4 linked regions of the Caenorhabditis elegans genome follow. The protein of the gene in region 3 interacts with the protein of the main gene of each other region in a pairwise test. Each region holds a gene or a part of one and is shown on either strand. Other genes may lie near its edges. The genes, in order: cul-4, cul-6, cand-1 and cul-2.

Region 1 (7,567 bases), on a different chromosome or scaffold from region 3:
TTCTAAATACACCACCTGAATATCAACCTGGATATGGTTATGTTGGACCAGCATGTGCTGTATTTGTAAGCATTCGTAGAAAACAATTTGAAAATATCTTCCAAATCTTTCAGGACAGTACCCTATTCCTTCATGGTGTTTCCAAGCGAAAGTTGAATGATCACGAACTACACATATTTAGTTCGTATCAGCATGATCTAAGTGCATTCAAAGAGTTTGTCATTCTATTCTCGATTGTTTTGAAAATTAAGCGTTTTACAGTTCATCATCTTCATTTGATTCTTTCGAAGCCTCGTTTCCTACAATTCCAAAATTCTGTGGAGGGTATGATGATTCTATTGAAGTGGTGTTGGATTCTTGTATTGTTCGAGTAAGTTTTTTTTTCCAATTGTGTATAGTTAGAACCATCTGGTTTTAATGTAAATCTTCAATATTACGGTATCAGGGGTCGACACGATCGGAAATTGATAGGTCAAAGACGCTTCGAGACCAATTACCGTATTCTTTTGTCAGAATCTATGAAATAGTCACTTCACTTTTTAATTACTACAATTAACAAATACGGTTTTTTTCTAGAATAATCACGTCTACGTTGGAGATCATCTTATCCGACCATTAACAAACTTTGAGAAACAGAAAATACAGTTAGTTAAAATGAGACGAATGTATGGAGAATCAAAAAGGAAACGTAGCAAAAGAAGCTCGAAACCATTGTAAGTTCATCCAATATTCTGCATTTTCAAATAATCTTGTTTCAGGCCTGGCACACGACCACAAAGAGATTTTAGTGAAATGCTTCACAAACTTTTGAATATTAACTCTACAGTAACTTCTCGATTCCTTCCAGTAGTTAGTCAAAGTCCTCTCTTTGCAATGGAAGGTCCGTGGCAGAATTTGTTTGAACTCGGGAAAGGTGATTTCCTTTCTTCGAGATATTTGTTATGAAAATTAAACATTTCATTATTCCAGATAAGGATATGATTGAATTATTAGCTGCTTCACAATTTAAACCCCAATTACCACCCGTTGCATCAGTTCCAGTAGCTCCAGTCATTGATATTACGAAGATTGATTCTCCGTATAGAGCCACTTTTACAACAATGAAACCAAGAAAATCACAGAAACCAGAAAAAAAGAAAGAAGTTTTCAATGTTTTCACTACTAAAACTAATCCTCAAATTACCACGACTACTATGACAACCACAACAAGAACATCCACAGGTAACATCTACAAGACAACTATTTGAAAAATTCAGTATATACAACATTTTCAAAATTGCAATTTATAATTAATAAATTAAGTTAACATCCGATTAAAGCTGTCAATTTTCAGCCATTCCAACAACTACCACAACTCCAAGACAAATATCACTTCAAACGATTCCATTTTCAACCACAACTAGACAACCAAATTTTGATAAAACCAAGACTCCTGCAACAATGCCATCAGCTTCTTCTTCTTCACTTTCAAGTATTCAAACAGTTGTTGATCCAATTATCTTGAAGTTAATTTCAAAGGCATTGGAAAAAAATGAAATGATTGATGAATATTCATTGAAACAGGCTCTATCGATGAGAAATGTTGCAACTACTACTGTAGGTTTAAATCTTTAATACATCTGAATTATCAATTATTTCAGACTCCTCTTCCACTTCGTTTCATTCTTCCAACACCTGCAGCCCCAAATCCATTTCTACCGTCTACAAGAGTTGGAGGTCTTTCTCATAATCATCTATTCATTCCCCATCAACCGTTTACTACTCTTGTTTCGACCGATTCTAGATATTCTGCACCGAACCCTCTTTCTCATCGACTTCCAAACGAGATTTGCCGAGTTCATATGAATTCAAATCCTTTCCATTTTTAGTTTTATTACTCTACCAAATAATTAAACAGACTTTTCCTATCGGGTCCCCTAATTTTCTTTCATTTTTCAGGCATCTCGGTTGTTTTTTTCAAAGTATTTTGACCTAATTTTCCATGTTGAAATTAATAAAATATTTATTAAATGAACACAAACACAGATGTTGGAATTGTCTTCTTCTGGTCAAGTACTGGATATACTCTCTTTTTTTGATAATGCTGAATTGATAAATTTTTGGTTCCAATGAAAGGATCAAACATTGTAGAAAATCTTTACAAAAATAATTGTAGACCTACTATTATAATAAATACAGTTTTATGCAGAGTCTGCGTCTCTCAATATGAACAGCCTCTCAAGCACTAGAGATGCGCCAGCACGCCGCGCGTCAGCAAACGTCTTTGGCCTCAGTTTGCCTTCAAAATAATGCATGAGTTCGGCATTTCAAATATTATTTAAGCCAAATTGTTTTTCTAAACTGCGGAAATCTAATTTTGAGAAAAGGAAATTTTAAATCCAATCGTTTTATTTTAATCTTAAAATATCTTTCTATATAAAACCGCCAACCGTCCTGTTTGTTTCTTCAGAGATACTAATAATCTAACATTTTCAACAGAACAAATTGGATGACATCTGGAGCACCACCGACTATTTCAACAGAAAAAAGTCGAAGTAAACAGCTTCGAAAATCGTCAAAGCGCACAGCCAGCACCGTTGAAGGTACAGAGGTAGTAATTAAATAATATTTTCAATGTGAGAAAAAATAAATTGCAGGCTAAGCAAATGCGCGGCGACACTGAAAATCGTTCCGACGGAGAAATGGACGATGTTTCAACAAGCAGCGAAATCAGACATGGAAATGGATTTATTGAGAATTTCAGAGTGAGTTATTAATTTATTAAAATGTTCATCGGTGGGAAGTTTTCAGAGTCAAACCGGCAATTCTTCACGCACAACCGCAACAAATGAACGCATCAAAAAGAAACTTGTGATAAAGAACTTTAAAGGTAATATTTGTAAAGTTTTCATTAGTTATTTTGATTTCCAGCGAACGCGAATCAAAATGATGTTGCGATGGGGGACACCAATATTGATAGTAAGTTTATTCTTCGATAGGTGTTATATTTTGTTTGATATCCAGGTACAGACGGATCAGTTGGTAGAGATTGGGCTGTTCTTTCGGATAATGTTTTCGCTATTCTTGAAGATAGGAAAACAGTAACCACTTTGGAAGGCTTATTCAGCGTAAGTTTTTGATTGTTTAAAACATTGTAAAAACTGAGCGTTTTCAGAAGGTCAGATCTGTGTGCGATAAAAATCAATCAAAAGTACTTTACGATCGTCTCGTTGCAATTGTTGTTCAGTTTGCAAAATCATTAAAGGAGTCGTTAAATGCGGTTGAGCAAGTTCCTCTTGCAGAAGACAATTGTGAGCAATATTTGGAAAAGTTTGGGCAGATCTGGCAAGCATATCCAGTTAAAATCGTAAGTGAAGAGTTTTATTTAAAAAAAAACAATAGATTTAACTCAGAATCTCATCAGGAATATTTTTCTTCATCTGGACCGAATTGCGCTCGGCGCTACAGACACAGAAATTCTCCCTTTGTGGGAATGTTTCATGCAAATATTTCAAAAAACATTCTTCCCGAACATTTTCAAGGAATTCAAAGCAACAAAACTGTTCAATGCTCTCTATATGGCGATGCAGAAAATTATGCAGAGGTATCCAGTGGACAGTCCTCTCAGAAGTCTTGTAGATATGCTTCAAACAGTTCATGTGTCTGAAGAATTTGCAAAATTCCTTATTAGCCAACTTCGAGAGCACTATAACAATGAGAGAATCGATAAAGTTCCAAAAATGAATGTAGGTTTTTATTTTCATTCTTTGAAAAATCTCGATTACTTATATTTATTTTAGTGCAACGATTACATGGAATACTGTGAAGACCAGATAAATCGATATTCGCAATTAGTGAAAGTGAACTTTGATGAACCGTCGGCTCTAAAAGATGTTCAGGCAACAGTGACAAACTGTCTCATTCAACAAGCAATTCCTGAAATTCTCACACATGATTTTGACGATCTTATCGATTCTGATAACATTTCGGATATCGGCCGAATGTTTAATTTGTGCCGTCAATGCGTTGGTGGAGAGGATGAAGTACGTACACAATTCTCAAAGTATTTGAAAAAACGCGGAGAGAAATTGATTGCTACGTGTCCTGATGAAGATCTTGTTTCTGAGCTACTTGCTTTCAAGAAGAAAGTTGATTTTATCAGTAAGTATTTCAAAGTTCTCTGTTATTTTTATTATTATCAAAAATTTTAAATTCCTCATACGTGGATCATTAATCATATTTCAGTGACTGGAAGCTTCAAATCCGCAAATGATCCAGTAAAAATGAGACAATGTTTGTCAGATGCCTTTGAATCTTTTGTAAATAAACAAGTCGATCGATCTGCAGAACTTATTTGTAAGTCATAATTCGAAATTTCTATATTATAATTTCTATTTTTCAGCAAAGCACTTCCACACACTTCTTCACAGTAGCAATAAAAATGTATCAGACGACACAACTCTCGATCAAATGGTAGATGAAGCTATTGTGTTGTTCCGATATCTTCGTGGAAAAGACGTTTTTGAAGCATATTATAAAAGAGGTCTTGCTAAGCGGCTTTTCCTTGAAAGAAGTGCATCTGTTGATGCTGAAAAGATGGTTTTATGCAAGTTAAAGACAGGTATTTAATACTTTTTAGTTTTCAAATTAATAACTTTTTGATTTAGAGTGTGGCTCGGCGTTCACATACAAATTGGAAGGAATGTTCAAAGATATGGATGCATCTGAAAATTATGGAAGATTATTCAACCAATATCTAGAACATATGAACAAAGAAAAAGCGAATTTCACTGCTCGAGTCATAACTCCAGAATATTGGCCAACCTATGACACATATGAAATTAATATTCCAAAAGAGATGAGAGATACACTTACCGATTATCAAGATTTTTACCGTGTTCAACATGGAAATCGGAATGTTAAATGGCATCACGGACTGGCTTCTGCGGTTATTTCTGCTTCATTCAGGCCTGGATGTAAGAAAGAATTAATTGCAACAATGTATCAAACTGTCATTCTTCTTCTTTTCAACAAATGTGAGACATGGACTGTCGCTGAAATTGTTGAGCACACTAAGATTCTGGAAATTGAAGTCGTCAAAAATGTGCTTGCACTTCTTGGTGGACGTGATAAGCCTAAGGTTTTGCAGAGAGTCGAAGGAGGTGGATCCGAAAAGGTAACTAACTTTTCATTCAACTCAACTAAAAATGTCTTTGTTTAGAAGGAAGGTACTGTGGAAAATTTGAAAAACGAGAAATTTGTTGTAAATTCTAAATTCACGGAGAAGCGCTGCCGAGTTAGGATTGCTCAGGTCAATATAAAGACAGCTGTGGAAGAGACGAAGGAAGTGAAAGAAGAAGTGAATTCTGATCGACAATACAAAATTGACGCTGCTGTTGTAAGAATTATGAAGGCTCGAAAGCAGCTAAACCATCAAACTCTAATGACGGAGTTATTGCAACAATTGAGGTAAGTTTTCAGAAAAAAAACTTTATTTTTAAATTCAAAAAATTCAATCAATTTTTTATTCGAGAAATAGTAATATCAATATAAGCCGAAAAATAAAAACTGGTTTTGAAATTTTTTATGAAAATATTGAATGTAAAATATAAATTGGCACACAACTACAAACCAAAATCAAAGGAAATGTAAAAATTGAGAACTTTTTCAATACTCTCAAAAACATAGCATTTAGTAAATTAATATGAATTTTGACATTTTGAAGCGATTTCCTTGATAAAAATTTGTCTAAATTTTGCTAAATTTGCTGCTAAGGTAAAATAAATGTTAATTATTCTAAATGAGTTTTTTTTGTTTCAGATTCCCCGTGAGCACCGCCGATATCAAGAAACGCCTGGAATCACTCATCGAACGTGAATATATATCGAGGGATCCTGAAGAGGCATCTAGCTATAATTATGTTGCGTAATACATAATATCATTTTTATTCCTTTTTCAAATTCAATCCTTATCCGTGCCACTGGTCTCTTCTCATCTCGTTTGCCCTGTTATTGAACAGTTTTCTTCCTTTATTTGTGCGAGTTTCGTCTTTTTTAGAGAAAAATGTACTAAATGTTAGTTTCTGTTTTTTCAATTATGTTTTTCTCTTCACCTAACATGTGCATCCAAAATACTGTTGAATACATGGTTATTTGATTGAATTCTTTATACGAAATTACTCGAATCGGTTGAAATATCCGTGATCTTACATTTTTTTGGTTTTTTTTTTCTTAATCAATTTTCAAAGTTTCTCGTTAAGCAGACACAAAATGGTTCGAACCTGCTCGAACTGCGGAAGTTCTGAAATTGATGAGGATGCTGCTAGAGGAGATGCTACGTGCACTGCGTGCGGAACTGTGCTCGAAGAATCCATTGTCGTAACTGAAAATCAATTTCAAGAGCGAGCTGGTGGATCAGGTCACACTCTAGTCGGTATGTGGTAGGAATGTTAAAAGTATTTACAAAATGTTATTTCAGGTCAATTTGTGTCCTCAGAGCGAGCTGCAGCTAACAATTTCAATGGAATGGGATCTCAAGAATCTCGAGAAATGACGTATGCAAAAGGCCGGAAAGTTATTGATGAGCTCGGCAGTCAGTTACGAATAAATTCACATTGTATGAACACTGCATTCAATTTTTACAAAATGTGCGTATCTCGTAACCTGACACGTGGACGTAATAGATCATCCGTTGTTGCTGTTTGCATGTATATAACTTGTCGACTAGAAAACACTGCTCATTTGTTGCTCGATTTCAGTGATGTCACTCAGGTATGACATTTCGGTAAACTTTTGTAATTAATAAGTGCAATTTCAGATTAATGTCTTCGATTTGGGAAGAAACTTGAACTACCTTTCTCGTTCATTGCGTATCAATCTCCCATCCACGGATCCTTGTCTTTACATTATGCGATTCGCATGTGTTTTGGATTTTGGCGACAAACAGAAAGAAGTTGTGAATTTGGCGACAAGACTAGTACAAAGAATGAAAAGAGATTGGATGTCTACTGGAAGAAGACCAACTGGAATCTGTGGAGCTGCTCTTTTAATTGCTGCAAGATCTCTTAATTTCAATCGATCCATTAATGATATCGTTCGTGTTGTACACATCAGTGAAGGCGTAATCAGAAAACGTCTCGATGAATTCAGTCAAACCCCTTCGGGAAGTCTTACGATTGATGAGTTTTCAACTGTTGATCTAGAACATAGTGAAGATCCACCAGCATATCGAGAATCACGACGGAAAGCACGTGAGGATCAATTGAGAAAAGAGGCTGAGCAAGCAGAATCAATGAAAGAACAACTAGGAGAAATGGAAGCTCACGTTGAAGCTGCACTCGATAAGAAGAGGAAGGAAAAGTTTTCAAAAAGTCCATATGCACGAATGATTAGTGAAAATCTAGGTAAGGAAAATGATAAAATGCAGACGCTTACTGAAACAGTTGTGGAGAGTTCAGGGTTGGAAAAAGGAGCTGATGAAATGGTACGAAATGAAATTATCAATACAGTTTTCAACGCTGCTGAAGAAGATCCTTGGTGAGTTTTCTTTGTATTTTTAACTCTAGGTTTGTTTAAATATTGTAATTACA
Region 2 (7,466 bases), on a different chromosome or scaffold from region 3:
TTCGCCACTTCATATTTCCCAGAATATGCGAAAGCCACGTTTGCTGGTGGTATTATCTTCGGGATGCTACGGAAGATTTCGAAAATTGATAGTTTGTCGTTGGCCGGGGAGAAGAAGGTAACAGTTTTGAATAGGAGTTTAACTATAATAAAATGTACATTTTCAGAAACTCTACGGGAAAGTCATTTTCAAGAATGTCCGATTCGCTTACCCAGAACGCCCAGAAATCGAGATCCTGAAGGGTCTCAGCTTCTCAGTGGAGCCCGGACAAACTCTCGCTCTCGTCGGACCATCAGGATGTGGAAAGTCTACCGTCGTAGCGCTTCTTGAGAGATTCTACGACACCCTTGGCGGTGAGATCTTTATCGATGGCTCCGAGATCAAGACGTTGAACCCTGAGCACACAAGATCACAAATTGCAATTGTATCCCAGGAGCCAACACTGTTTGATTGCTCAATTGCAGAGAATATTATCTATGGCTTGGATCGTGAGTTATCATTTATACAACAATCATTTCATTAATTGATTGAATTTCAGCTTCCTCAGTTACCATGGCTCAAGTTGAAGAAGCAGCCAGGCTTGCGAACATCCACAATTTCATCGCAGAGCTTCCAGAAGGTTTTGAGACTCGTGTAGGAGACCGTGGAACCCAGCTCTCCGGAGGTCAAAAACAACGTATCGCTATTGCACGCGCCCTGGTAAGGAATCCCAAGATCTTACTCTTGGACGAAGCTACGTCAGCACTGGACACAGAATCCGAGAAGGTTGTCCAAGAAGCGCTGGATCGTGCGAGAGAGGGAAGAACCTGTATTGTGATTGCTCATCGTTTGAACACAGTGATGAATGCAGATTGTATTGCTGTCGTGAGCAATGGTACTATTATTGAAAAAGGTAAGCAGACTTTCAAAGAGCCTTCCTATCCCTAATCTTGTTATTTTTACAGGAACCCACACACAGTTGATGTCTGAGAAGGGTGCCTACTACAAACTGACCCAAAAGCAGATGACCGAGAAGAAATAAACTTTAAATCATTAATTTTGTGTAGCTTTCTTTCTCGATTTTTGCACGATCTTTCCCCTAAGCATATTAATAAGTCGTTCCTCTGTTTTGAGTTACTTTTGAAGTTTGAATTGAATAAATATTTTCACTTGAGTCTATCTAGAATCATTTTCAGACTCTCAGATATGTGCGACAGATGGATGTGCATATTAAATCCTGTAATGAAAATTTTTTCTACATAATTACTCAACTTATGTTTTCATAACTTCAATTAAATTTTTGCTACTTGCTCGGCATTTGGAGGCTAGCCTTAATCTTTAAGACTGAAAATCAACTGGAATCAGTAGTAAATTTTAGACGCAAATATCTCGAGTTCTAGATGTCCGCGGCAAAAACGGTCCTTTACGTTCGAGAAGTTCATAATATCAGCTATCGAATGGCACTGAATTAGTTTGAAAATTCTAAACCCTCTGCAAACCATTCCCTTGTGAGAGAACATTCCAATTTTGCAATTTTGCAAAAAATGCAAGTTATCTTAATGTAATTTAAAAGCCAAAGTTGCTCTCCATGTGCTACCACAATGTGTACACCGAACTGTTGATCCAAACTACACATATCTGTTTGCTCTCCAACTTTTCCTCATTCTCTGCCTCTCATGAGTCATCACCGTATGATAAGGAACTTATTTCATGAAATTTCATTTGTATCACTACTTGCCGTCGGTTACACCTATTTCAACACATCTTCTCAGTTTAAGAAATAATTTCGGGTTTTTGAAAAAAGTTCTTAAGTTTGTAGCGTGAATGAATACGTATACATATGTATGAGTTTTCCCAGTTCAAAAGGTAAATCTCGAAAGAATTCAACAACATTGAAAAATTTCGAAAAAGCCGTTTAGTTAATGTGCTGGGGCGGTATTTAGGGCATTTGGCATTATCAAGAAGTTATGATGCTTCTTCTCTTATATTTTCATTCCTCAATTTTTCGGAGGCACTTTTTTAAACCATGCTCCTATTTTTCAAACTAGTAAGACACCGTAAATTGGTAGCATGTAAGGTTTCCACATTGTTAATAGTATGACCTTACACTCAAATAATAAAAACTTAATAACTGAACAAATATTTAACTTATAATCTTATCTAATGTTCTAAATCAAGTTCAACATTCATCAAAGAGTTTCACTGTCTTTAATCAATCTTTCACCGAACACACATCATTTCAAGTACCATAGCATCTGAGAAAAAATGGATCATTTCGAAATTCTTGCTAACATTACTTTTTTCTCTAATTCTCTTACGCAACAGTCTACCACCTTTTCACATTCTCTCTTCAGTTTCTGTCCGCGCTTTCTGCATTTTAAACTTTTCCTTCTTTAAAAAGAAACGTTATTATTATTATTTTCAGCTACAATTACCTGAAAATGAGCATCGAAGCAGTGTGGGGAACATTGCAAGATGGTTTAAATTTGCTGTATCGAAGAGAGCATATGTCGAAGAAGTACTATATGATGCTTTATGAGTAAGTCTGCGTTAGTTTTGAAATTTTGCTTGTTTTTAGTTTTCTGATATATATATATGAAATTAAAAAAATATATTTAACCTTACTTTTTCATCTTATGTGGAATTTTTTTGCTGATCATCTAAAATTTGCCTAAACATCGGTTATAAATTTTCTTTTTTGGTTGAAAAATTTCGGAAAATTGAGCATAGAGACAGAAAAAAAAGTCAAAATTAGTTTATTCATTTGCTCGGGAAATAAAATGGAAATCAGGCCTTTCAACTTTTTCTTTTGCAAATTGAAAAAAATTTAAAAATTGCAGAAAAATTATTTGGTAAAATGAGAGAGTTTTTTTTATGATTTTCGGCAAACCGGCTAACTGTCACAAAACTCAAACAAGTTATTTTTTGGCTTTTTTAAAATGTCACTACAATACAAATTAAAAACCTTCAACCAGGGGTGCGCGGCACTCGGAAATTTCCGGCAATCGACAATTTCGGCAAATGCCGGTTTTGAAAATTTTCGGCAAACTTGCCGAAATTGCCGACTGCCGGGCATTTTCGGCAATCGGCAATTCCGGCAAGTGCCGGGTTTGGAAATTTCCGGCAATTGCCAAAATTGCTGCAATTTTCAATCCTAATTATATTTCGGAAATTGAAATAATTTCACATTGTTTTTTAGTACTCGGCTAGTAATTTTTTTTAAAGGAAAACGATAAATCATTTTGAGCTTGAAAATTGAAAATTGTTCATTAAAATGCCATGTTCAGGCTCCTAAATCTAAAAAAAGTTTCAAATTTATATTCCCGGCAATTTTGATTTCCGGCAATCGGCAATTCCGGCAATTATTCGATTGCCGAACGGCAATTGCCGCACACCCTTCCTTCATCATTACAAATTCCAGTGCTGTCTATAATATTTGCACAACAACAACACTTGCCAATTCAAATAATAATTCGCCAGAATTTGCAAGTGAATTTCTCTACAAACAACTTGAAAACTATATCAGGACATATGTGATTGCAATTCGAGACAGAATATCAGCGTGTTCTGGTGATGAACTACTCGGAAAATGCACCATCGAATGGGACAACTTCAAATTTTCTACAAGAATCTGCAATTGTATATTTCAGTATTTGAATCGAAATTTTGTTTCGAAAAAAGTAGAAGACAAGAATGGAGAAATTGTGGAAATTTACAAACTGGCTCTAGACATTTGGAAGGCTGAATTTTTTGATAATTTTAAAGTTAAAACAATCGATGCTATTCTTGAATTGATACTTTTGGAAAGATGTGGATCGACAATTAATAGCACACATATTTCTTCAGTTGTCGAATGTCTGACGGAACTTGATATTTACAAGGTTAGCTTTGAACCCCAGTTCCTTGATGCCACAAAACTCTTTTACAAACAAGAGGTGCTGAATAGTAAAGAGACTGTTATAGAATACATGATAACTGTTGAAAATCGACTGTTTCAAGAAGAATACAGGAGTCGACGATATCTTGGACCATCTACAAATGATCTACTGATTGACTCATGCGAATCTATTTTGATTTCCGATCGGTTGAAGTTCTTGCATAGCGAGTTTGAACGTCTTTTGGAGGCTAGAAAGGATGAGCACCTGACGAGAATGTACAGTTTGTGCAGGAGAGTTACACATGGACTCGAGGATTTGAGGTGAGCAAGTTGACCACTTTGGAAGCAAGTGTTGTCTCTGAGTTGCTCATCCATACTATGTATGTACTGCCGTACAACTTGGGATCCCTGAATAATTTTTCGGAAAACTACTAGAAACTTCCGGAAAGTTTGTTAAAACTGTCAGAAATGTTGAGCAAACTTTTTTAAAAGTTTCAGAAATTTTCAGAGTTGTTCAAAAGTATTGAATTGAATACCATTTTTAGAAAAATAAACATTCTAATTCTAAACAAACGAAGTTTCAGGGTGTATCTCGAAAAGCGAATTTTAAAAGAAGGACACGAAACATTGCAAAGACTGGCTAAAGACAGTGGACTAAAAACTACACCAAAGGAATACATAACCAAACTCCTTGAAGTTCACGAGATTTATTTCAACTTGATAAATAAAGCATTCGATAGAAATGCACTTTTCATGCAATCTCTCGACAAAGCTTCTAAGGACTTTATCGAAGCTAATGCTGTGACTATGTTGGCTCCTGAAAAACACCGAAGCACAAGGTCTGCAGACTATCTTGCAAGATATTGTGATCAGCTCTTGAAGAAGAATTCCAAGGTTCAAGATGAAACGGCGCTAGATAAAGCAGTGAGTTTGCTTTTTTCAACTCTGAACGTCGCTGCTCCATCACATTTTTCTGTACGAAAAATTCCCTTTATAGATCAAAACATGATGGGACAGCCTAACACCACGTATGTAAAAAAATCCCATTTTCAGTTAACGGTGCTCAAGTATATCAGCGAAAAGGATGTCTTCCAATTGTATTATCAAAATTGGTTCAGTGAACGAATCATCAATAATTCTTCAGCAAGTGATGATGCAGAAGAAAAGTTCATTACAAATCTAACTGCAACAGAAGGTCTCGAATATACTCGCAATCTTGTGAAAATGGTCGAAGACGCTAAAATTAGTAAAGATTTGACTACTGAATTCAAAGATATCAAAACGGAAAAGTCGATTGACTTTAACGTTATTCTTCAAACAACTGGTGCATGGCCAAGTTTAGATCAAATCAAGATTATTCTTCCGCGAGAATTATCGACAATTCTCAAAGAGTTCGATACATTCTACAATGCGAGTCATAATGGACGAAGATTGAACTGGGCTTACTCACAATGCCGGGGCGAAGTTAACTCTAAAGCTTTCGAAAAGAAATATGTATTTATTGTGAGTTTATCTATAGTTATTCAAACTTATTATTTTTATCAGATAACATTTTATTAAAAATTTTAAAATCAGAAGTCAGCCTGAAGCAGAAGCAGAAGAAGAAGCCAAACTGCTTTTTGAAATCTTAACTTATTAAAAGTTAGAATTTTCCAGGTTACAGCAAGCCAACTCTGCACGCTCTATCTTTTCAATGAGCAGGACTCGTTCACAATTGAACAAATTTCCAAAGCTATTGAAATGACTGCAAAGTCAACTTCGGCTATCGTAGGATCTCTTAATCCGGTTATTGATCCAGTGCTAGTAGTTGACAAAGGCAACGAAAAAGATGGATATCCACCTGATGCCGTAGTGAGTTTGAATACGAAGTATGCGAACAAAAAAGTGCGAGTGGATTTGACAACGGCAATTAAAAAAGCAACAGCAGATCGTGAGACAGATGCGGTTCAAAATACAGTTGAAAGCGATAGGAAGTATGAGATCAAGGTATTTTTTTTAATCGAGACTATGAAATTATTTGCAAGCAAGGATATGTTTAAAAAAAAACATGGCAATTAACTTGCAGGCATGCATCGTAAGAATCATGAAGACACGGAAAAGTCTCACCCACACATTGCTCATTAATGAGGTAAGAGGCTAACAATATAAGTAATTTTGTTTTTCAATAGTTTAAAATAATCCAAATAGTTGCTCTTTTGTATAGTTTTATCACTGAACTTTTATTAAAAATTTTCCGCAACTGAATTAGTGGCAAAACACAATTTAAAAACACGGGTTTCAAGAGCTTGGTAACTTTAATTTTTTTCAGATAATTAGTCAATTGAAAAGCCGGTTTACGCCAAATGTGCAAATGATCAAGATATGCATTGAAATCCTGATTGAGCAGTTGTACATACGTCGATCAGAAAACGAACACAATGTCTATGAGTATTTGGCATAAAATTACTGGCTTTAGTTTATTTTTTAATTGTTCAAAGAAATAAATGCAATAAAGTATTGTGAATATCATCCACATGACGTTTTTTCTAATGTATTTCCAGGACTAAAATCTACCTAAATTTTCACATGAAATTATTATTAAATAATTCGCCGCCGACATCGATTTAGTTTCGCGATGAACCACTCTATTTTTCGTCTGCGTCTGCTTTTTGGGACTTTGGAAAAAGCATTTATACTTACATATTTCACAGTTCGTAACTCCTGAGATCATTGATCCTTCATTTCTCCCACTAAATCAATAGCTAATCCTCCTCCTTCTTCCTGCCGAGAGAAACTCAAAGACGATATTTGTAAAGTGTTCAACTCCCTGCGTATCTCATTCTCCCATTCTTTCTGTCTTTTGAAACCTTGAAATCTTTGGGTCATTTATATTACTCCATTTATTTTTAAAACTTATTCCCTGCCCAAGTTCTATTAATCTGTAAAAATGTCAATTGTAATGTCAGCCGGCAAAGGAGTGACTCAAGTAGTCGAACGATGTGAAGCTGCAAAAGAATCCGGGTTTTTGGGTGAGCTTAGACTGTTTTCTGTAGTCGCAATGAAGGCGTAGGACACATTGTAGGCATCTGTGTGCCTACATGGTAGGCGCACACAAAGCAGACCGTTTTTTAGAAGCAGAGTAAAGTTTTACGAAAACTATTTAATATTTTGAACAATTCTCACCGAAATTCCAAATAACATATTGTTTTCAGACCTTTCATCTTGCCAGTTAATGTACATGGCTGACGCGGTGTACATGTTAATTAAGGGATACGAAATCACAAAAGTACGTTCTAAAAAACCTATTCCTAAAAATGTTCAGTTTCAGGTTAGTATTCAAGATAACGGCTTCAAAAAATTCCCCAAAAAATTTGTGATCAAATTTCCAACTGCCACTAGTAAGTTTAAAATTTATCATTTAAGCAAAATTCTGAAACATTTCAGTCCTAAATATGGCTAACAATGAAATCTCTGAAATTCCCGAAGAAGTTGCCACGTGGACAAGTTTGAAAGGGTTAAACGCTGCGAAGAACAAGATTTCAAAGTTTCCGGAGCCATTTTTACAGCTGAAAAATTTGATCTACTTGGATCTCAACGGTAATCAACTTGAAGGTTTGTTGAAACAGAATAA
Region 3 (6,176 bases):
GCGTCCTGGCAATTTTCAGAGAGAGCGAACGCGCTCCATTGCGAACCATTTGATTTTGAAATTGATGACTCTCTCTCTGCAAGTGGTTACGCAATTTTCTTTGCTAACAGTTAATTTTTTTCTCAAAATCTGCTGGTTTGGCCCTGTCACTCTTAATTTAGGCCGTTTTCTCTTAGTCGTATTTTTCTACTTTTTTAAAAATTCTTACCAAGGGTGTAATTGGAGAAAATCGAGAAATTTCGATTTTTTAATCAAATTTTTTTTGTGGAGAAAAACATAAAAAGGCATATTATTTTCTTATAAAATGTGGGAAAACACCCCAAATTTTCAGCTATTTTCCGAGAAATCGACTTTGTTTTCGAAAAATCAAAAAAAAAAAAAAAAAAATTTCATTTTTTTGATAATTTTTATTCAAGTTGACGAGTAAAAACTATAAGGAAATCGATATTTTTCTTCAAAAATGTGGGAAAAATAGCCCAAATTTTAAGCCATTTTCCGGACAAATCTACAATTTTTTTTTTGAAATTTCAGAAAAATTTTAACAAGACTGTCAAAAAAAAATTCGGCTAAAAAAAAGAAACTGTTGGTTTTTTATCGTCATACCAACTAAAATATAACATTTTTGAAGAAAAAAAAAGAAGTTTTTTGGTCCGAAAAACCTAACAAAAATTCCATTTTTGGAAGTTATTTTCCTAAAAATCTAAATTTTTCTGGTGAAAATCGATGAACAAACTTTAAAAAAAAATCAAATTTTGTTTATGCTGATAAACATTATTTTATTCATTTTTGAGAAGATTTTTCAAAAAGTCGAAATTAAAAAAAACCGGCACCCCTTGAAGCTTATCTCCAATTCCAGACCACCCATACTTTGTCGGAGCCCAATTCCATCCCGAATACCTTTCCCATCCACTCACTCCATCTCCACCATTCTTCGGTCTTCTGCTTGCCGCAACTCGTCAACTTAATTCATATTTCTCTGGGTCAAGAAGTCCGGCTCTTCAAGTTGTAAATGAAGAGGAGCATCTTCATCATACAAAAGAGAATGACTCGGAGGAGAAGCGTGAAGATGTTGTTGGAGCAATGTTGGGGAAACTGAAACTCGAGGGAAATGCTGTGCCAGGAACTCAGAGATTGGCTTCTTTCCATTAATTGTTTCCTCAATTTTTCGTCGTTTTTTTTCACTTTTTTTGTAGTTGAGTAGATGATTTTGTCAGAAAATCGTCTTAAAATTTGCAGAAATTGACCGATTTTTTGCCTTTTTTTGAGCCAAAAATCCATTTTTCGAGCTGAAATCGCTGAATTTTTGGATTTTTTGCAGTTTTTGAGCCAAAAATCCATTTTTCAAGCTGACATTGCTGAATTTTTGGATTTTTGCTCTCCGAAAAGCTATTTTTTGTGCGAAAAACGGGAAAACGCTCAAAACTTGGTATTTTTCGATTTTTTTTTCAATTTTTGCCGTTTTTTGAGCTGCTTATCTTAAAATTTACATTTTTGCGCCAGAAAACTCATTTTTTCAGCCGATTTCCCAAAAATATGCCTAAAAAGGAACACTTTTACCCCGAAAAGTGGTTTTTTTTTTTGAGGCAAAAATGTTTTTAAAAATCCAAAATTTGAGCGAAATATGTAAAAAATGGCTTTTTCCACCAAAAAACTATTTTTTGATCTGAAATTGCGATATTTCAAGCTTTTTTTCCCAAAAACTGGCCTAAAAATACCAATTTCAGTCCAAAAAATTATTTTTTGACTCAAAAAATTGCCAAAATCCGCCAGAAAAACGAAAAATTCAGATTTTTGCAAATTTTGAGTCAAATTTTCGAAAAAATCGACCCTTTTTCGTCAATTTCAGACCATTTTCAGACAAAAATCCCTCCAGTTTTTGTTGTTTTTATTCTTATTTTCTGATATTCCAAAGATAATTTTCTTCTTTTTTTTCGCATTTTTCTCGTCGTTTTTGTCCTTTTGTTATCCTTGTTTCTGTTTTTTTTTCATTAATTTCTCCCATAGTCACCTTCATTTTTTCCCGGATTTATTCAATTGTTGACCCAGTTTCATAGATTTTGTTCTCTACCAACACCCGATGAACTTCGTTTTTAGAGTTTTTGATCACTTATTTTGGCGCCCAAAATTGTCTATTTTCTTGCCTCTTTTGGTTATCTTTTTCACGTTTTCAGACCCCGAAAAGTGATTTTCAGACCAAATTTTGTTTCCAGATGAGTGCTTATCATGTCGGGCAACTGGTCGACAAAATGTCGAATCCGGATAAGGATTTCCGGTTCATGGCTTGCAATGATTTGATGAAAGATTTGCAGACTGGAACTATCGCTTTGGAGGACGATTCGACTGCTAAAGTATAGTAAAATCTCAAAAATTGGCGGTTTTTGGTGCAAAAATTGCTTTAAAAAGCTAAAAAATAACCCTAAAAATTGAATTTTCCAGTGAAATTTTATTGTAATTTTGAAAAAAAAGGTGAAAAATAGCTAAAATCTGTACTTTCAACAGAAAAATCTGTTTGAAATTTCAAAAAAAATTTTAGCTGAAAATTGAAATTTCTACAAAAAAAATTCGAAACCGGCAAAAACCGTAATTTTCTACAAAAAAAATTATTTAAAAATCCGAAAAACTGCTAAATTCTGCTGTAATTTAAATTTTTAACGAAAAAAAAATTATTTAAAATTACAAAAAAAAACTGTTTATTTTGGCAAAAACCGGAAATTTCTGCCAAAAAATGTTGAAAATTCAAAAAATGGCTAAAATTAACTAAAAACCGCCGGAATTTAAACAAAAATTCCAAAAAAAAATTCAAAATTTAGCTAAAATCTGAATTTTCTAATTTTTTTCAGGTCATTCGTGCTCTAATCAAACTGCTCAGTGACTCAAACGGAGAAGTTCAAAATCTTGCGATCAAATGTATTGGACTCCTTGCTCAGCCATCGAAAATCAAAACGCATCATGTCAGTAATCGGAAAATTCAAAATTTTAATTTCGGTGTTTTTAACGGAAAAAATTGGAAAAAATACGACAAAACTGGAGATTTCAATGAGAAAAATACGAAAATTCCTTCAAAAAATTAAGAAATGACTGGAAAGTTTGAAAATTTCGTACAAAAAATGGAATTTTGGCTGGAAATTCGAATTTTCAGTCGATTTTTATATAAAATTTCAGAAAAGTCACATTTTCATTCAATTTTTGGAGGAAAACACGAATTTCCAGTCAAAGTTTGACAAAAAAGTCATTTTTTGGATGGATGGTCAAATTTTAAATCAATTTTTGTCGGAAAATTCGAATTTAAAATAAATTTTCAGCGTGAAATTCAATATTTCTACAATAAAAAGTTTAAAAAATTGGAATTTTCAGTCGAATTTCCACAGAAAGTTCAAAATTTCAGTAGATTTTTCAACATTTCAACGGGAAATTAAATATTTAACATTAAAAATTTTTGTTTAAAAAAATTATCATTAAAAATTTGAAAAAATCCCAAATTTCAGCTGGAATATCTCGTCGAAGAGCTCACTCCACACGTTTTTTCGAAAGCTGAACAATCAAGAGATATTCATTCTCTCACACTTAAAGCAATGATTCTAAATTTGGCTCCATCGGCTTCAAGTAATGCAACAACTACAGTTGTCAAGAGAATGTTGCCAAAATTTGTGGATTCTCTGTCGTTGTGTGCTCCAGATGATGCGGCTCGTGTCGATGTTCTCGATTTGATTGGAGAAGTTTTGCTGAGATTTGGTGATGTTGTAAGTGTGGATTTACACCCGGAAATCCTATTTTTTGGGCTTTTCAAGCCTTAAAATAGCCCAAATGAGCCTTTTTTGAGCTCAAATATCTTCAAAATTTCAAAAAAAATACCCCAAATCTAGCCAAAAACCGTCATTTTGCAGAAATTCCGTTTTTTTCTACATTTTGTCGTCAAGTCCGGTGTCTTGGCGGTGTTTGCTCACTTTTGAGGCTACAGTACTCTAGAAAACAGCCATTTTGCTCGTTACCGGGATTACTGTACCCTTAAAAGCACGCAAACACGACATATTGCGGAAAATATTGATTATTCTGCATTTTGCCGTCAAATCCGGTGTGTTGTCAGTGTTTGCGAATTTGTGGAGCTACAGTAACCCTAAAATTGAAAAATTGTCAGTTTTGGGTTTTTTAAACCAAACTTTCAAAAATTTTCCATTTTTTGCTTTAAAAACTCTGAAATAATGCCAAATTTCGAAAAAAAAACGAAAAATCCAACGCGATTTTTCAATTTTGGCTAATTTCCTCCAAAATGGGAATTGCGACCAATCAGCGATTCGCCCCGCCCACTTTTCAACCAATCAGATGGAATTCAGCCGAAATTTCACGTTTTTCCCGAATTTAAGACTATTTTGGCACTTTTTGAAGCAAAATCTCACACATTTCTAGTTCCAGGTTCCCGAAATGCACAAAGGATCGTTGAAAGTGATGGTAGATCACTTGTATTCATTCCGTTCCGCTATCAGAAAGAAGGCAATCACTGGAATCGGACATCTTGCCTCTGTAATCAACGGAGAGCTTTACGATGAGCTCGTTCAAGATTTGCTCAAAGAGCTGGCTCAACGATCCCCTCCATCGTCGGCTGCTCAAAATGTGCAACTTCGTACACTTGTGATCGCGTTGAGCACTGTCGCACGAGCCAGTGGATCGAGATTCTCGAAGCATACGCCGAAAGTTGTTCCGTTCCTTCTTCAATATCTTCAAATTGATCCTGGAACCGAATCGGAGCACGATGATCTACGGGAAGCTTCTATTCAAGGATTGGAAGTATTTTTGTACCGGAATCCACAGGAAGTTGTAGCTTTTGAGAAGGAAGTTATCCAACAGCTCACTGATGCACTGGCCTATGATCCGAATTACGAGTATGGAGATGATGATGAGGATGAGCAAATGGAAGATGATGAAGATGGTAGGAAACTGTGCGAAAATTGAAGATTTTAAAGATTTTTTAGCTGAAATTCTTGATTTTGGAGCTTTTTTTAGCCTTAAAGGTGGACTACGCTCAGTGGGGATATTGCTTTAAAACACGCCTATGGTACCACAATGACCGAATATCATGATAAAAAAATTCAAAAACATTTTTCTAGATTTTATATGATTTTTTGAAAATTGAAAAAAATATCAGTTTTTGCCTAATTCCTATTTGAATTTCCGCCAATTGAATTTGTTCGAGGGAGCGCGCTTGCACGTTTTTAAATTTATTTATTTATTTATTGTTATTTTCCACCAACTTTTAAAGTTTTCGGTGTATTTTTGCTCGAATTTTAGAGAAAAAGTCAAAATAAATGCAAATTTTCGATTAAAAAGCAAACGTACAGGCGTAAAAATGAAAAAGTAACGCTTTTAAACGATTTAAAACCTGAATTAACTAATTTCCTGGTAGCGTGCTTTTTAATCGAAAATTTGCAATTATTTTGACTTTTTCTCTAAATTCAAGCAAAAATACACCGAAAACTTTAAAAGTTGGTGGAAAATAACAATAAATAAAATAAATAAATTTAAAAACGTGCAAGCGCGCTCCATCGAACAAATCCAATTGGCGGAAATTCAAAAAGGAATTAGGGGAAAACTGCGATTTTTCCAATTTTCAAAAAATCATATAAAATTTGGAAAATTTTTTTGAATTTTTTAATCATGGTATTTGGTCATTGTGGTACCATAGGCGTGTTTTAAAGCAATTTCCTCGCTGAGCGTAGTCCACCTTTAAATATTCAAATTTTTTGCAGACGACGAAGATGAATACAGCGACGACGAAGACGTCACATGGAAAGTTCGCCGCGCCGCCGCAAAAGCCATCGAAGCAATGATCTCATCACACCGGGAATCCCTTCTCAATCTCTCGCAAAAAATCGGTCCAGTAGTGATTGGACGATTCAAAGAACGCGAAGAGACTGTCCGAACTGAAATCATCTCAGTCTACATTGCCCTACTCAATCAGATCTCCATTTTGGTCCCAGATTTGCAGAAGGCCGTTGTGGCCGCCGACGAGGATTCCATTGAAACTGATGATATTGTGGTGATTGGTGGAACCAAATTTTCGACGAATTATCTATCACGCAGCCAGTTGGCTATAATTCAATCGTTAGCTGATCAGAAAGATGTGCTTCTTCGTACAATCACAAAATCGATGAAAAAACACCCGAAAACTGGTCCAAAATGCA
Region 4 (8,182 bases), on a different chromosome or scaffold from region 3:
TGGTTACTACAAATTTAGGTATTACTTGTATCAATTTTTAATGCCACGTTTTTTCGAGAGTTGGTTTTCATCTTAATATTGTTCTCTTGAAATAAATATAAAATTGAGGTCAAATTTATTTGGAAAGTTAAAACCTCTTGCAATAATACCCAGTAAATCGGAGGAACTATATTTTCATTCAATTCATTTCTCTGGGTTGACTGTTTTCAATTTTTTTCCAAAACATGATTTTCGAATATAATTTGAACGGAAATATTCTAACCTGAAAGTGTATTATCGTCACTACAAGAAATTACATAATCCTCCGGGGTTACTGTAATCTGTGTGACACTTCGTTGATGTTTTCCCATCACGGCTATCCGCCGAGACGTTCGATGATTGTAGACGACGATATTTCCTGCGTTGTTGCCGATTACCAGTGTAGGAGTACTTGGGGACCATGCAAGACATGTTGGGAGCTCTCTGGAATGAAGCAAGTTTTGGTGTATCACTTTTTAAATCTGAAGTACGTAGAAATACAACGAAAAATCTGTAATCTTTTGAAAACTCCAAAAAATCTCACAGTTTCAAAATTTTGAAATAATATTTTGTAACCGTATTTAGAAAATGCCCCCGTTTTTCAACTCACTTTGAAGAGGTCGCTCCACTCTCAACAGTATCTGTATTCCGCGAGTTCACATCCCATAGATAAATAGTCCCGGTATTTGCTACGGCAATCGCTAGTACATCACCTTCCTTATCCCAAGCTATGTCGATAAGTTTTCTGGAAGTTGAAAAAAGTGTAAATCACGAAAATCTTCTTTTTTCTTTACATTTCAAAAAACTCTGAACTCACCCAGTTGGATTCAACGCGTCAATAACATTTCCTTTCTTATCGTAATAGATGACCGTGTTATTGGCGCTGAAAAGTATAATTTATTGCTTGGAAAAGCTCAGCTTTAAAATGCATTTAAAAAGCTTCAAATTCAGAAATTCCAGAACCGATAATAATAAATTGAGAAATAATGATGAAAATTCAAATTTTCAAAAATCTGAACAATCAGCGATTGGCTCCACCCATTTTCAAACCAATCAAGGTCTTTGCAAACGCATTGGTCATGAAGCTCCCATTTTGGAAAAAAAATCAAACAGGACAATTAGCCAAAATTGAAAATCCTACTTCTAAAAGTTGGCTTTAAATTCTTTCTCGATTTTTTTCGTCTTTTTTGGAGTTTTTGAATTTTGAATATTTTAAAGAAAAATCTTTAAAAAAGATACTGTTAAAAATAAGAATTAAACAAAAAATAAACAAACCATGCAACAGCTACAGTATGCCCATTTGGTCTCCATCGATGAATAATCGGTCCACTTCCGTGCTCTTCTTCGCCTCTTCGATATTGAAGCTGAGCAGAAACACATTTAAATACTTCCTGATTTTTTGTGAGAGTACACGGAATTACCTTTAATGACATTTATATGAATGAAGATCTCCGTTGTTTTCGACGTTTGCCACTGCTCCCCTATGATTTGTCACTTATGTCACGAGCCTACAAATAATGGTTACAAAAAATGAAGTACAAATCATTGAGCTACCCGAGCCTTTGGGGAGTTGTTGCCTTGGTAACCGGGCTACACAGTGTGTGTTGAGCACGCAAATTGAGGAAAGAACAGGGGAAGTGGAAGAGGGGATTTGATCATTCCCGGTTTGGGAATAATGACAATTAGTAGAATTTTCTGGATTCTCGAGAAAAAAAAACAAACCGCAATTTCATCTTTTTATGTGAATATCGAACAAAAATATTTGATAAAATTATTCATTTACACATCTGGGGCAAATACATTTGTAATGGGAGAGCATTACGGGTACACTAAATTTTGAGAAGTATCTCATAGCGAAAACTACAGTAGTTTTTTTAATTAGTACTGTAGCACTGCTCCGATTTTATTTTGGTTTTTGGCCATTTATTCCAAGTTTAGCCAAAAAATGCACAAAAATGCCAAAAGGGTATTCTTTTTTTTAATTTTTCAATATTAAAATTTTTAGAGAAAACTTTATAATCAAATTCCAAAACGACTCCACCTTTAATAACTTCAAATATTAATTTAATTTTAAATTTTAGACTTCAGAAAATTATTCTTAATTTTTGTTCTAAACAGATTTCCTTTTTAAAATCCTCCTTTTCTCACATGTCACATTTTTCATTGTCATTGCCAACTTCTAACATATGACGTTCAATATATTTTTAACGTTTGTTATCTCTTTTCAATATATCTTCTCTAAAAATCAAATTTCAGCTTCTCCACCATATCCCCGAAAATCTTCAGTGTAACCTCCACAGGAAACCGGTCCGAGGTTCACCGTCCACAGGCAAAACTGGCGTCGAATACACAGCCGACATCGAATCGTACGACACTTGGCCGCCGTAAGGCAATTTCTGACGACAATTTTCCCGTCGTTGAGCCGATATTGAAGAAAATGTGAGTGCGTCTGCTGCGCATCGATCGATATTATTTGGTTTATGACCCCTGGTTTCTCATTTTTCGGTTTGAATATTAAATAATTGAACGAATTAAAAAAAGAAAGAATAATTAAAATCACGTGATTCTTTTTATCAATTAAATTTTCGTGTTTAGTTTTTTAATCCGCATTTCAAAAATTTTCGCTTTTTCCGTAAAAATGGCAAGTTCCACAAAAGTTTCCTTACGGTACCCGTTATTTTTTTTTGAAAATTTCGCACAAATTGTCATCATTTTCAGTCGTCCACCTCGTCCACAGGTTATGTACTCACTGAAGCCAAAAGTTGTGGAATTTGACAAAGTATGGGTGCAGTTGAGACCATCTATCATTGATATCATCAATTTGCGGCCGATCACCAATGTTCAGTGGCATCACAAGTTTAGGTAAGTTTTGAAGGAAAAGTTTGATTTTTTCCAGTGATAGAAATTTCAGAAAGTATCATTTCTGTCATTCAACAGATTTTTCGAATTTTTAATTTGAAAAAAAAGATTTTTTGGGATTTTTTGTTCAAAAATGTCTTGATTTTTGGCCAATATCTAAAGTTTTTGTGCAAAAACTATTTATATATAAGGCAAAAATTACCTTTTTGTTATTAATCCGATTTTGTAAAAATGTTATGTTTTAAAAAATCAATTTTTGAAGTTATTTTCAGCAATCGCGTTGTTTGTAAGCAACAATCCTAAATTCGATTTTTGACAGAGAAAAAAAGTTTTTCGAGGATTTTGTCCACAAAATCCGAAAATTTTTTGACAAAACTATTTTTTTTTATTTCACGTGTATAATTCACTGAAAAACTCAATCATTATTCCAAGAATTGTAAAAAATTGCTCCAAAACACTAACATTCACTTATTTTCCGATTAATTCAGGATTATCCGAAAAATCGATTTAAAAAAACATTGTTGCAAAATCGGATTGATGATCTTATAACCTCTTAAACATACTTTTTAAAACCATTTTGGTAGTATTTTTTGAACAAAATCCATTTCTGGGAAAAAAACATGAGAATTTTTGAAAAAAAAAAAGATTTTTGTACTTTCCAAAGAAAAATGTCAAGAATCACAACTTTACGATACGAAAAGCTGGATTTTTATAAATTTTTAATTTTTTTAAATATTGTTTTCAGTGACGTCTACGACATTTGTGTATCGATACCGACTCCATTGAGCGAGCGATTGTATAATGAGGTATCTCGAATTTGACGTTTTCGACGAAAACCGAAAAAAAAAATTAAAATTCTACTTTTTTCTTCGGATTCTACTATAAAAAAGGATTTTCTAGCGAATTTGGTGATGAGACTACAAGATTTCCATTTTTACAGGTGAAGGCTTGCATTCAAGAGCATGTTCGACAAAAGCGTCAAGATATCGTCGATGTTGATCCGGATCTGTTGCTTCAGGAATATCACAAAATGTGGAGAGTTTTCCATGAGGGAGCCATCTTTATTCACCGTCTCTTTGGGTTCGTGTGAAATTTCTTCGGAATTCTTTTTAAAATTCAAACAATGATCTGAAAATGCTCCAAAATGCATTTTTGTGAAACGTTTTCACTGCGTCGTTGTAGAAGAAAAAGAATTGAAAAATACCCAAAAAAAAGAGAATTAAAAAAAAACATTATTTACAGATACCTGAACAAACAATTCGTAAAACAGAAGCGATGCACCGATTTGGACAATTTCGCGCAGTACGCCGCTTTTCTGCAGATTCCAGACGTCAAGGAGATCGGATGTGTGAGTTTGCGACAAAAAAATTGCGCCAGGTTTTTAGAAATTTCTTTATGTTTTCGACGAAAAAGTGGGTGGAAATAAAATCCTAGGCCACGGAGATGACTTCCGTGGCCGATGATTATCAGTTAAGACCACAGTGCGCTTTTTCAAAATTTTGTGTTCCTGGAAAATAACTATTAAATAATTGAGAAGTTTTGAACCAAAAAAACAAATCGAAATTTTCAGCTCGCACTAGAAATCTGGAAAGAAGACCTCGTGAAGACCATTCTCCCGCAGCTCGTCAAACTTCTGCTCATCGCGATTGACAATGATCGGAAAGGAAACTTCCCGCATATCGCCAATGAAGTCTCCGGCGTCATTAACAGCTTCGTTAAGATGGAGGAGACGGATTTCGACGTTGTACCGGCAGAAGGAGCACGCTATAAGGCTCGCGAGTCGACAACGGCGTTCTATCAGGAGAGCTTTGAGAAACCGCTTCTTACGGATACGGAACAGTACTATTCGGCGCTCGCACAAAAAATGCTCACCGACCTCAGCTGCAGTGAGTACATGGAACAGGTTATAGTGCTCCTCGAACAAGAAGAGATGCGTGCGAAGAAGTATCTCCACGAATCGTCGGTGGAGAAAGTTATCACGTTGTGCCAGAAAGTTATGATAAAAGCTCACAAGGATAAACTTCACGCAGTGTGCCATGATCTCATTACTAATGAGGAGAACAAGGACCTCCGCAACATGTACAGACTGTTGAAGCCCATTCAAGCGGGACTCTCGGTAATGGTTAAGGAGTTCGAGGAATATGTGAAGAAGAAGGGGCTCGAGGCGGTGTCGAGGCTCACCGGCGAGAATGTACCCCAGCAATTTGTGGAGAATGTGTTACGGGTGTATAACAAGTTCAATGATATGAAGACTGCTGTGTTCATGGACGATGGCGAGTTCTCTAGTGGACTCGACAAGGCGTTGCAGGGAGTCGTGAACTCGAAGGAGCCAGGACAGTCGGTGCCGAAGGCCAGTGAGCGGTTGGCGAGATATACGGATGGGTTGCTCAAAAAGTCCACGAAAGGACTATCGGAGACGGATTTGGAGGCGAAACTCGACAGTGCAATTGTGATTTTCCGCTATATAGAGGATAAGGATATATTCCAGAAGTTCTACTCGAAAATGCTCGCAAATCGGCTTATAGCAAGCACATCGATATCGATGGACGCCGAGGAGCTGATGATTAACAAGTTGAAACAGGCGTGTGGTTATGAATTCACCAGTAAACTGTCACGAATGTTCACCGATATCGGGCTTAGCCAGGAGCTATCGAACAACTTTGATAAGCACATTGCGGACATTAAAACTGTGCAGCCCGACGTGAAGTTTGTGCCGACACAGACGATGATTCTGCAGGCAGGTAGCTGGCCGCTCAACGCTCCACAGCTCTCTACGAATTCGAATAATCAGACCGCACAAGACGTGGCCAACTTCCATCTGCCACGTATCCTGCAGCCTGTGATTCAGGAGTTTGAGAAGTTCTACACTGGGAAGCACAACGGGCGAAAACTGACATGGCTTTTCAATATGTCACAGGGAGATGTCAGGCTTACATACCTCGATAAGCAGTATGTCGCACAGATGTATGTCTATCAGATGGCAGCGCTGCTTTGCTTTGAACGTCGCGATGCTATCCTCGTTAAGGACATCGGAGAGGAGATTGGTGTGAGCGGTGACTATCTGCTAAAGACGATTCGAACGATTTTGGACGTTACCCTGCTGACGTGTGATGATCAGAATCTAACGGCCGACTCGTTGGTTCGTCTGAACATGTCGATGACGTCGAAACGGATGAAGTTCCGGCTTCAGGCGCCACAAGTGAATAAGGCTGTCGAGAAGGAGCAGGAGGCCGTCGCGAATACTGTAGGGTTTTCAGTTTGTTTTTCATTGGCGAGGGCCTCAAGTTATGACTTTTTGAGTTCAAGCACTAAAAATCTGTATTTTATTTAGTCCTAGACTTTAAAAATTTTTAAACGATCTCAAAAACCAAGTTTTAAAATGAGACACCTTGAAAAATTCTCAGCATTTTTATGACGGTGGAAATTAAAACAAGCCAAGCTCAACTAAAATCTCAAATGCTGAAAAATCTTTAATAAAGAGTTTAGGTGTTTTTTCGAAATTTTAAACCTTCGTAAAATTTTTTTAAATGTCTCACTATGAAATTTGGTCTTTTGTGGAAACTTTGAGTCAATTCAATCAATTAAACAATTTATCTGCTCCCTTTTTGAGCCAATGAGCCTAAATCAAAGCTATAAACTGTGGCCTAGAATTCTGAGAGACTAGACGTATTTAGTTAGGCCCCGCCTCGATGCAGCTAGATTATCCAAACACGTGTGCCTCGCAATCGTCAATATTAGTTCCAGGTTTCACAAGACCGAAAGTACTATATGGAGTGCGCAATTGTCAGAATTATGAAGACCAGGAAGGTTCTGAAACACAATGCACTTGTCACTGAGGTTTGTTAGATTTTTGTTGTTGGTCAAAACCCTGTAAAACGAGATATTCAACCGACTGAAAATGCTTTACAAAAATATTTTTGTTTGAATTTTGAACCAAGAAACTGAAAATCAAAAAGTGGATTTTCCTCCAAAAAAGAAAAACAAACAATTTTAGAAACAGTTTTTGGTCCGGAACCCCCCAAAAAAAAGCGAAAAAAATCTTTTTGCAAAATGTGCTATTCCACATCAAAAATGCGGAAAACAACATTTTCTTGCAGATAATGGACCAAACGAAAGGCCGCTTCTCGCCCGACGTACCATTCATCAAAAAGAGCATTGAGGACCTTATCGAGAAAATGTATATTCAGCGAACCGATCAAAATGACGAGTATCAATATTTGGCCTAATTCTCTCCCCCTATTTGCGTGTTTTTTCCCTGAGAGGCAAAAAACTAAAATTTAAAATTTACACTGTGTAAATGACTCTGAAACATGCCATTCAAAATCCCCACTATAATTTTATTTTTCAAGATTTTCTAACAATGATTGCTTTTTTTCCAAATTGAACTGTACTGAAAGTAAATCCCCTCGCCCCTCATCTTACATATTTTATATCATTTTTTGCTGGAGCTGCGCAACGGGGAATCATCAAACTGTTTATTGGAATACCTATTTTTATACTTTTGGAGCCCTCAAAAACTGAAAATCGCGGGAAATTCTCTGTTACTCCCGACAAACGGCTATTTGCCTATAAAACCAACCAGTCCGTAGCCTCTCCTTGAAAATGTATATGTACTATATTTGTCTTTTTTTTGTGTTCTATCCTCCCTCCTCAAGCAACTATTTTTTCTCCGGAATCTCTATGATTACGATAAAGTAGACAATTATCCTTCCCAAAATTCCAATTTTGTTTCATTTAAATTTTCACGTTTTTGAACTTGAACTTTGATCCACGACACTCTTACGGCACGTGGCAAGTCATAATGGAAAATTTGAACGTCGGTAGTTTTAAATTTATTACTGCGAAAAGAATCGATCAGCGATGCCACGTGTCAAAGTGTTCTTCGATATCACGATTGGCGGAAAGAAGGGAGGACGCATCGTTATGGAGGTAAGGGGGGCAGCGTTAGGTTCTCGGAGCAAATATGATTACTGTAGGCGCTAGTGGTATGTCAGTTTGCACTTTAATGAGTATAAATTGAGAAAATCGATATAATTTTTTGTTGCCATTTATCGATTTTTGTCGTTCTGTTATCGGTTTTTAGGATGATTGTAAAATCTTTTTCAATGGTCTTGCAGAAATTTGCCAGTTTTTCGACTTTTCAGGAAGTTACTAGATTTTGGCAACATTTAAAAATCAATAAACTAAAGATTTTTAAAACCTGTCGTTGCAGCTCTACAACGACATCGTGCCGAAGACAGCGGAAAACTTCCGCGCTCTGTGCACCGGCGAGAAAGGAAAAGGGAAATCGGGCAAGAAGTTGCAC

What was found.
Region 1: the proteins of cand-1 (region 3) and cul-4 interact in a two-hybrid assay, tested with the Caenorhabditis elegans proteins (one study listed by BioGRID).
Region 2: the proteins of cand-1 (region 3) and cul-6 interact in a two-hybrid assay, tested with the Caenorhabditis elegans proteins (one study listed by BioGRID).
Region 4: the proteins of cand-1 (region 3) and cul-2 interact in a two-hybrid assay, tested with the Caenorhabditis elegans proteins (one study listed by BioGRID).

The regions. Positions count from the first base shown.
Region 1 is NC_003280.10:7,299,623-7,307,189, forward strand, and holds cul-4 (Cullin-4), read left to right. Parts: upstream 1-2,478; 5' UTR 2,479-2,488; coding exon 2,489-2,590; intron 2,591-2,636; coding exon 2,637-2,744; intron 2,745-2,790; coding exon 2,791-2,869; intron 2,870-2,910; coding exon 2,911-2,958; intron 2,959-3,003; coding exon 3,004-3,107; intron 3,108-3,154; coding exon 3,155-3,346; intron 3,347-3,392; coding exon 3,393-3,725; intron 3,726-3,779; coding exon 3,780-4,140; intron 4,141-4,224; coding exon 4,225-4,335; intron 4,336-4,381; coding exon 4,382-4,600; intron 4,601-4,646; coding exon 4,647-5,155; intron 5,156-5,200; coding exon 5,201-5,448; intron 5,449-5,799; coding exon 5,800-5,908; 3' UTR 5,909-6,136; downstream 6,137-7,567. Other genes in the region: C30G12.1 (uncharacterized protein), read left to right, coding at 1-65, 114-214, 262-370, 577-713, 759-913, 970-1,221, 1,334-1,596, 1,641-1,868; brf-1 (B-related factor 1), read left to right, coding at 6,249-6,411, 6,457-6,749, 6,796-7,381, 7,421-7,514. UniProt on the Caenorhabditis elegans protein: Component of cullin-based E3 ubiquitin-protein ligase complexes which mediate the ubiquitination and subsequent proteasomal degradation of target proteins.
Region 2 is NC_003282.8:12,585,383-12,592,848, reverse strand, and holds cul-6 (Cullin-6), read left to right. Parts: upstream 1-2,397; 5' UTR 2,398-2,420; coding exon 2,421-2,518; intron 2,519-3,400; coding exon 3,401-4,177; intron 4,178-4,440; coding exon 4,441-4,780; intron 4,781-4,909; coding exon 4,910-5,359; intron 5,360-5,512; coding exon 5,513-5,842; intron 5,843-5,921; coding exon 5,922-5,984; intron 5,985-6,164; coding exon 6,165-6,296; 3' UTR 6,297-6,364; downstream 6,365-7,466. Other genes in the region: Multidrug resistance protein pgp-1, read left to right, coding at 1-117, 167-488, 539-892, 945-1,021; K08E7.8 (Leucine-rich repeat domain-containing protein), read left to right, coding at 6,783-6,864, 7,048-7,121, 7,164-7,233, 7,280-7,447. UniProt on the Caenorhabditis elegans protein: Probable core component of cullin-based SCF-like E3 ubiquitin-protein ligase complexes which mediate the ubiquitination and subsequent proteasomal degradation of target proteins.
Region 3 is NC_003283.11:16,800,664-16,806,839, forward strand, and holds the start of cand-1 (Cullin-associated NEDD8-dissociated protein 1), read left to right. Parts: upstream 1-2,208; 5' UTR 2,209-2,210; coding exon 2,211-2,348; intron 2,349-2,840; coding exon 2,841-2,951; intron 2,952-3,485; coding exon 3,486-3,740; intron 3,741-4,410; coding exon 4,411-4,924; intron 4,925-5,741; coding exon 5,742-6,176. Other genes in the region: ctps-1 (CTP synthase), read left to right, coding at 857-1,149.
Region 4 is NC_003281.10:13,684,995-13,693,176, forward strand, and holds cul-2 (Cullin-2), read left to right. Parts: upstream 1-2,656; coding exon 2,657-2,685; intron 2,686-2,736; coding exon 2,737-2,880; intron 2,881-3,622; coding exon 3,623-3,683; intron 3,684-3,817; coding exon 3,818-3,957; intron 3,958-4,119; coding exon 4,120-4,225; intron 4,226-4,447; coding exon 4,448-6,121; intron 6,122-6,615; coding exon of another isoform or gene 6,616-6,621; coding exon 6,622-6,714; intron 6,715-6,974; coding exon 6,975-7,103; downstream 7,104-8,182. Other genes in the region: WD repeat-containing protein dyf-2, read right to left, coding at 1-6, 263-462, 629-763, 836-901, 1,294-1,382, 1,440-1,451; cyn-2 (Peptidyl-prolyl cis-trans isomerase 2), read left to right, coding at 7,738-7,806, 8,090-8,182. UniProt on the Caenorhabditis elegans protein: Core component of multiple cullin-RING-based CBC (Cul2-ElonginB-ElonginC) E3 ubiquitin-protein ligase complexes which mediate the ubiquitination and subsequent proteasomal degradation of target proteins.